Cricetulus griseus: one gene and its partner. The protein of the gene in region 2 purifies or fractionates together with the protein of the main gene of each other region. This does not show direct contact. Links are inferred from orthologs where the notes say so. Each region holds a gene or a part of one and is shown on either strand. Other genes may lie near its edges.

The links.
Region 1: the proteins of Tradd (region 2) and Birc2 purify together in Homo sapiens (affinity purification with western blotting; 3 studies listed by BioGRID and IntAct, with this or other methods). This does not show direct contact. The link is inferred for Cricetulus griseus from reciprocal best matches to the Homo sapiens genes TRADD and BIRC2.

What each region holds. Positions count from the first base shown.
Region 1 is NC_048597.1:122,214,207-122,217,857, forward strand, and holds part of Birc2 (baculoviral IAP repeat-containing protein 2), read right to left. Parts: coding exon 3,115-3,651; intron 3,028-3,114; coding exon 2,928-3,027; intron 1-2,927. UniProt on the Homo sapiens protein: Multi-functional protein which regulates not only caspases and apoptosis, but also modulates inflammatory signaling and immunity, mitogenic kinase signaling, and cell proliferation, as well as cell invasion and metastasis.
Region 2 is NC_048596.1:181,546,573-181,550,086, reverse strand, and holds the end of Tradd (tumor necrosis factor receptor type 1-associated DEATH domain protein), read left to right. Parts: intron 1-552; 5' UTR 553-560; coding exon 561-711; intron 712-1,453; coding exon 1,454-1,731; intron 1,732-1,811; coding exon 1,812-2,004; intron 2,005-2,152; coding exon 2,153-2,463; 3' UTR 2,464-2,916; downstream 2,917-3,514. UniProt on the Homo sapiens protein: Adapter molecule for TNFRSF1A/TNFR1 that specifically associates with the cytoplasmic domain of activated TNFRSF1A/TNFR1 mediating its interaction with FADD.

The sequences.
Region 1 (3,651 bases), on a different chromosome or scaffold from region 2:
TCCACACACTCACACAGATGGCTCTGTGACTGCTCTTCAGGCTCTCAATCATCAAGACAAACCAGGTAACACCAGTGCTACCGTCCCCTTCATTGTGAGAACACTCACAAGCCAGAACAGGTATAACAGGGGTCCCATTGGCCAGGGTGTTTCCCATGACAGGAAAGATCATAAGCTTTGATGCTGCCCAGACACTGAGAATCTCTAAAACCTTCACTAACAAGGATTTCAGCTAACAGAAGCTCCATGGAGACTATGAAACTGCACTTCCCAAGGAGTCTGGGCCTGCCATACCCCTGACAAGCCCAAACCCTCACACCCACCCACAGTTAAAGGTCTTTGCTCAACACAAAATCTAAGAAGCAGGATTACAAGTAACTAACAAATAAATAAAACAAAAACTCTAACAACAAAGGGAGACAAAAATTTTCCAAGAACCAATTCAAAAGAAGGAAGAGAAAGGTGTTTACAAACTGCTGTCAGATAAGCAAGTAATATTCATCTTCAGGGAGTGTGGTGAGTTTCAAGAGAACAAGACAGATACACAAGCTATAATGAAAGAATACAAAGAGCAATTCTTGAGAGCACAGGAAAGTACAAAATTTACAGGTGAAGACAAATACATAATCATCTTCAGACTTCTCCACATTGTAATGCAGAGTGTAAATAATTCAACTCTATCATAAAGGTAAAAAAAAAAACAAACACTGGGACTCAGGTAAAGTGCCTATCTACAATGCACAAAGCCCAGAATCAACCTTCAGTACTACCCCAGTCCATCACAGTGCTAAAAACAACTGTAACTACAATTGTAGTTATAACTGTCCTATTAAATAAAGGCAGTGTTAGAAATAACTATAGCTACAACTATAGTGACAACTATCCTAATAAAAACAGTATTAGAAATAACTGTAGCTACAATTATCATATGAAAAATAAACAATAGGCCAGGCGTTGGTGGCCCACGCCTTTAATCCCAGCACTCAGGAGGCAGAGGCAGGAGGATCTCTGTGAGTTCGAGGCCAGCCTGGTCTCCAGACCAAGTGCCAGGATAGGCTCCAAAGCTACACAGAGAAACCCTGTCTCGAAAAACCAAAAAAAGAAAGAAAGAAAGAAAGAAAGAAAGAAAGAAAGAAAGAAAGAAAGAAAGAAAGAAGATAAACAATAAATAAACTTAGAAGGATATAGTGACACCAAAGCCATGGTATGCTGGGAAGACAGAGGCAGTTTCTGTGCAGCTGAAATCATCAGTTTTCATAGCAGACTGCTTTAAGATGTGAGGGAGGCAATCCTCAGCTGAGGTCCCTCTTCCCAGGTGACCAGTGTGTCAATGACAGAAACCAATCAGCAGAATGGTTAAAGACATGTAGTATAGCAGTCCTGACTGCCCTCAGAGCGCAGCACACCTGAATCTGACAAATGAGTGAACTATATATACTAAAACCTAGTGATAATGACCATCTGTTAGTCTGTCTTTGCTGAGAGCAAACAGTCACAGCTGAAACCTGTTCTGAGCTGCACTGACAAAAACCATTCCTGTCTTCTCCCTTGGCATTTAAAACAGGGTGAAGAATTTTGTTTTACAAAGTATAGCAATTCAAATGTTAGAATTTAGAACGTTTTTGTCTTTTATATATAAGTTAAATTTCAAGTTACAACATATAAGCCCACAAGTATGGTTGTCATTTAAAATTCTGACATTTTCAACAGTGAAGACTAAATTCATACTAGCATTACTATGGAGAAATGTTGCTTTTTTTCAAACATGTTCTTAAAGATCAACCTCCAATAAGACCTACAACATTATGAAATCACTTGTCAAATTTGTTGCATTAAGAGAACCCTTGAAACAAACTCTGGGTGCCTTCAGAAATGCCTGCCACCAAGCCTGACGACCTGCATTCCATTCACAGAACCCACATGGTGAAAGAAGAGTTGTCCTATGACCTCCACTAGCAAATTGTGCTTTATTTTCCTTGGATAAGAATTTTTTTTTTGCTTACTGTTTTTTTCCAGATCGGGTCTGGCCAACTAGCTGAGTTGGTCTGGGGCTCACAATGTAGCCCAAGTTAACCTTGACCTCAGACTCCTTCTGCCTCAACCTGAGCTGACCTGAACTTGCTATGTAGACCAGTCTGGCCTCTGCTCACAGAGATTACATGCCTCTTCCACCTAAGTGCTGAGATTAAAGGCGTGTGGGCATGGGTGCACTCCCTACCCCATCATATACAATGGATTGATCCACTATAAACATTTCTACTTCCAAATTCCTTTTCATCATATATCACACAAAAATGACCAAAGGTCCCTGTAATTTCCTGAAGGAGGTCCAACAGATTTATCATTATTATGGAAGGCATGCACAAGTCCAAACTTTCTTCATTGTATGATTCCACTTACATGTGGTACCTAAAGTAAAAAATTCAGATATAGCAAGTAAAAGGCTGGTTGCCAGGGGTGGGGGGGATGCTTTCAAGTGTATGGGATACAGAGTTTCAGAGTGAGAAGATGAAAAGGCTCTGAACATGACTGTAAAACAGTACACATGCACTTTATGCTGCACAAGAATACATTTTAGAAGGCTAAATTGGTATATTTTTATGTATATTTTATCATGATAAAAACTCCTAACAGCCCATTTATTTTAGAAATTATGTCCAAGTTCACATAGTTAATTGGTTACAAATATACAATTTCTAATTCTATTTCACTAACAACTGTGCCCCTAAATTTATTTTAAGCAATAATAAAAATTAAGAGGTTAGGGATAGCCGGGCATCGGTGGCACATGCCTTTAATCCCAGCACTCAGGAGGCAGAGGCAGGCAGATTGCTGTTGAGTTCCAGGCCAGCCTGAGCTAGTTTCAGAACAGCCAGGGCTACACAGAAAGACCCTGTCTCAACAAAAACAATCAAAGAACCAATTACCTTGGAAACCATTTGGCATGTTCTACCCAGGGGTCATCTCCAGATTCCCAACACCTCAAGCCACCATCACAACAAAAGCATTTGACATCATCATTGCGATCTAAACAAGAAAAGAAGATGAGAAACTGACTCATGTATATTCCCATAAACAAAAAAGAGAAAGTTCTAGTCTCTGTTAACATCTTACCCACATAGTAAAATCCAGCACTTGCAAGCTGCTCAGGCTGAACAGGAACACTGGACGGCCAGCACAGAAACGTCCTCATTCGAGCAGTATGTGTCTGCATACTCAGATTTGATATACTAAACCTCTGCGTTTCTGAAGAATTTTCCAGAAATGGACAGTTGGGAAAATGTCTCCGATGCTCTGACATAGCGTCATCCTTCGGTTCCCAGTTGCTCAGTTTTCCACCACACGCAAAGCAGGCCACCCTGTCTCCAGGTCCCACATAGTAGAAGCCGGCTCTGGCCAGCTCAGCTGGTGACAGAAAGCTTAATGGCCACATACTGTAAGTAAGAAATCTGGCCTCTTCAGTAATCATGGCATAGCTGCAGGGATTGGTCCTTGATGACAAGTCTTCCACTGCTCTAGAATTGAGAGGATTTGAGGACAAGTTGGAGTGAGTACCCGCTCGTTCTGGAATAGGTAACGAATGTGCAAGCCCACTTCTCACAGGAGCTGTGTTCTTGGATGGAGACTGCAGATTAGCAGAAAGCAGGGTGT
Region 2 (3,514 bases):
TCCTTAGTGGTCCTCCCAGGGATGCAGAGTTTAGTTTCTTTAGTTTAGTTTGATCCCTATATCAAATCTTGACTGGTTTCTGATGAATGTGAGTGAGATGTGTACCTTGGGCAGTCTTACGTTTCACATTCAAACTTGGGTCTAGGCAGTGAAAATTAAGTGAAGCCAGGTATAGTGGGAACTTTCCACCTGAACTTTCCAAATAATAGTTTATTTGGAACTTAAGGTTAAGCTGAAGGCAAAGCTAAGACTTGAATCTGGCTGGTCTTAAAGCATGAGCACCATCCAGAAGGAAGATGTCTTTTGTCAGCTTTGATAAGAGGGACATACTGGCTTGGGGCCCACTAAAGGGCCCACCTCTGTTATTCTGTTATTGTGACCCTAGACTTTTTGTCACAGGTGGTGGAGGGACAATCCTGGGTTCAAGTCTGGGTTGGACTGGGCAGGACTGTGAGCAGAGCCAAAAGCTGGGACCTCTGTGGAAGGACAGCTGGGCAATGTGAGACTGGATAGTTGTTTCCAAGTCTGGAGATGATCTGTTTGCATCTCCAGGAGTCGAGATGGCAACTGGACAAAATGGACATGAAGAGTGGGTAGGCAGTGCATACCTGTTTTTGGAGTCTTTGATGGACAAGGTGGTCCTGTCTGAAGCCTACACAGATCCTCAGAAGAAGCTGTCAATATACAAGGCTCTGCAGACTGCATTGTCAGGTGTGTGGCTGGCCTGCTGTAGAGGTGACTCTGGGACTTTGTGAATGGGACTGGGTTTGAGGCCCCACTTCTTTGCCTTTAGGAAAAAGATTATTTTGGTGTGGGGTTGGGAGAGGTATGAAGGCAGAGGGAGGACCTCCGGCTGTATGGGGTCTGCAACCTTTGCTTATTGCATGGGTCCTTGAGTGTAGACATTTGTGCACTTGTTTGTGTCTATCTAGATATACCTGTTTCTTTTCTTTCTTTTTAAAAGCATCTTGCCCCACGCCCCCCTTTTAAGAAGATATATTTATTATGTATATAGTCTTTTGCCTGCATGTCATCCTGCAAACCAGAAGAGGGCACCAGATCTCATTATAGATGGTTGTAAGCCACCATGTGGGAATTGAACTCAGAACCTCTGGAAGAGCAGCCAGTGCTTTTAACCTCTAAGCCATCTTTCCAGCCCCGTTTTCTTTTCTAATGCCACCTTGATGTATATTCATCCCCACTTCTGAATAACCAGTTCACTCTTTGCTACTAACGGTGCTTTTCTGTCTTCTTTTCCTTTCTCACTGCCCAAACCCTTCCCCAGTACCTACCCTTTCTGTTCCCCTTCCCCTACCCAGGGCAGAAAGCACAGGGGGCTGTAGCTGGTTGAGGGTCGGGAGAATGGTCTGACTATGGGCTTACCCTCCTGTTCTGGCTGCTTGGAAAAAAGCCGTTTGGGAACAGCGGGTGGCCTGACTGCTCGTCTCTGCAGAGAGTGCGGACAGCCCTGACGTACTGCAGATACTCAAGATCCACTGCAGCGACCAGCAGCTAATCGTGCAGTTACGGTTCTGCGGGCGTCTGCTGTGCGGCCGGTTCCTCCAAGCCTACCGCGAGGGGGCGCTGCGCACCGCGCTGCAGAGGTGCATGGCCTCGGCACTTGCCCAGGAAGCGGTGCGGCTGCAACTGGAGTTGCGTGCTGGCGCAGAGCAGCTGGACACTTGGCTGACCGACGAGGAGCGCTGTTTGAATTACATCTTAGCCCAGAAGGTGCTGCCATCTGGAGTTAGGATGGGATGGGTGGGGATTTGCGGCCCAAAGCCGCACTTACTGTGCACCCCTTTGTGCAGCCCGACCGGCTCCGGGATGAGGAACTCGCCGAGCTGGAGAATGAACTCCGCAAGCTGACGTGCGACTGCACTGGCCAGGGTGGAGCCATACAGGTTGATTCAGCCTCTTCGAAGTCCCTTGTTCCCTCTCCAGCCGAAGAGAAGCTATTGCCGGTGGCCTGCCAGACTTTTCTGTTCCATGGTCAGCCCGTAGGTGAGGTTCAGCAGCAGAAGCGTGGCCACCAGGAGGTTGATCTGGGCTGGAGCATGGCTGGACCCAGGGCTACACAGGCAGGCACGGGAGGGTGCTGGCATCAGGGAACTGGTGCTCACTCACCTCTCCTCACTTTCTTTCTCTGCAGTGAACCGGCCATTGAATCTGCAAGACCAGCAGACATTCGCGCGTTCAGTGGGCCTCAAATGGCGCAGAGTGGGGCGCTCGCTGCAGCGTAGCTGTCGAGCACTGAGGGATCCTGCCCTCGACTCGCTAGCCTATGAGTATGAGCGAGATGGGCTATACGAGCAGGCTTTCCAGCTGCTGCTCCGCTTCATGCAAGCCGAGGGCCGCCGTGCCACGCTGCAGCGCCTGGTGGAGGCGCTGGAGGAGAACGAGCTCACCAGTCTTGCAGAAGATCTGCTAGGCCAGGCGGAGCCGGATGGCGGCCTGGCCTAGGTCTGGTACTGTGGGGAGGGCGGTCAACCAGCTGGCCAGCCAGGGTTTGGTCCCCACTGGTGGCTATTGGGGTCTTTTTACTGCTGCTGTTGCTACTGCTGACCGCTTTCCACCCACTGGACTCAGAGCATACGTACTACCCCCACTTTGCCGAGCTGCTGGAGTGGAGCTGACTTCCCCGGAAGGCAGGCAGGCATCAGTACATCACTGAGGATTCGACCCAGATTCTTTGAAGGAGACAGTGTAGTCCTTGACTTCTCATCCTAAAAGAGGACTTCCTGCAAAAACTCACCAAGTACCTGGACCTCCTGAGGTCTAGATGTCATTCAAGGTGCTGTAAATACTGTTGTGATCAGGATGCACAAGTCTTCCTGATCACAACGTGCCCTTAGCTCATACTCAACGTGGGACCCAAGCACTTTGCAACGAAATAAAATGTAACTCTTTTACAGACTTGTGGAGATACCGAGGTCAAGTCCAGGTTGGGGTTAGGTTCTTTCAAGGGACGAGTGAGCCAGGTGGAGTTGGGAGAGGAGGGGCAGGATTCTGGGTACAGTGGGCTCAGGTGGGGTCTCAAGGAAGCTGAGGAGGATGTTAGGACAAGTTTAGAGGGGTTAGATGGGAGGAGGGATTGCTTTCTGTCCTATTAGTGGGGGTTTGGCGAACCATTATAGTTTTGTTTTTTTTTTAAATTTGGTTGGGGTGTGTGTGTGTGTGTGTGTGTGTGTGTGTGTGTGTGTGTGTGTGTACTTAAAACAGATATTACAATGAGCCTTAATTAGAAAAATTAAAATTTCAATTGGGCAGTGGTATCATACACTTTTGATCCCAGCACTGGGAGGCAGAGACAGGCGGTTCTCTTGAGTTTGAGGCCAGTTCCTGGACAGCCAGGACTACACAGAGAAATTGTCTCAAACAAACAAAGAAAACAAATTAATATTTCAAATACATTATTAGAGAATTTTACAATTGGAAAGGGATGGAAAATTTTACAGACTAGTAAATCCTAATTGAAATGATCAGGCAAATATAGTAAAACTGCATCTTTCCT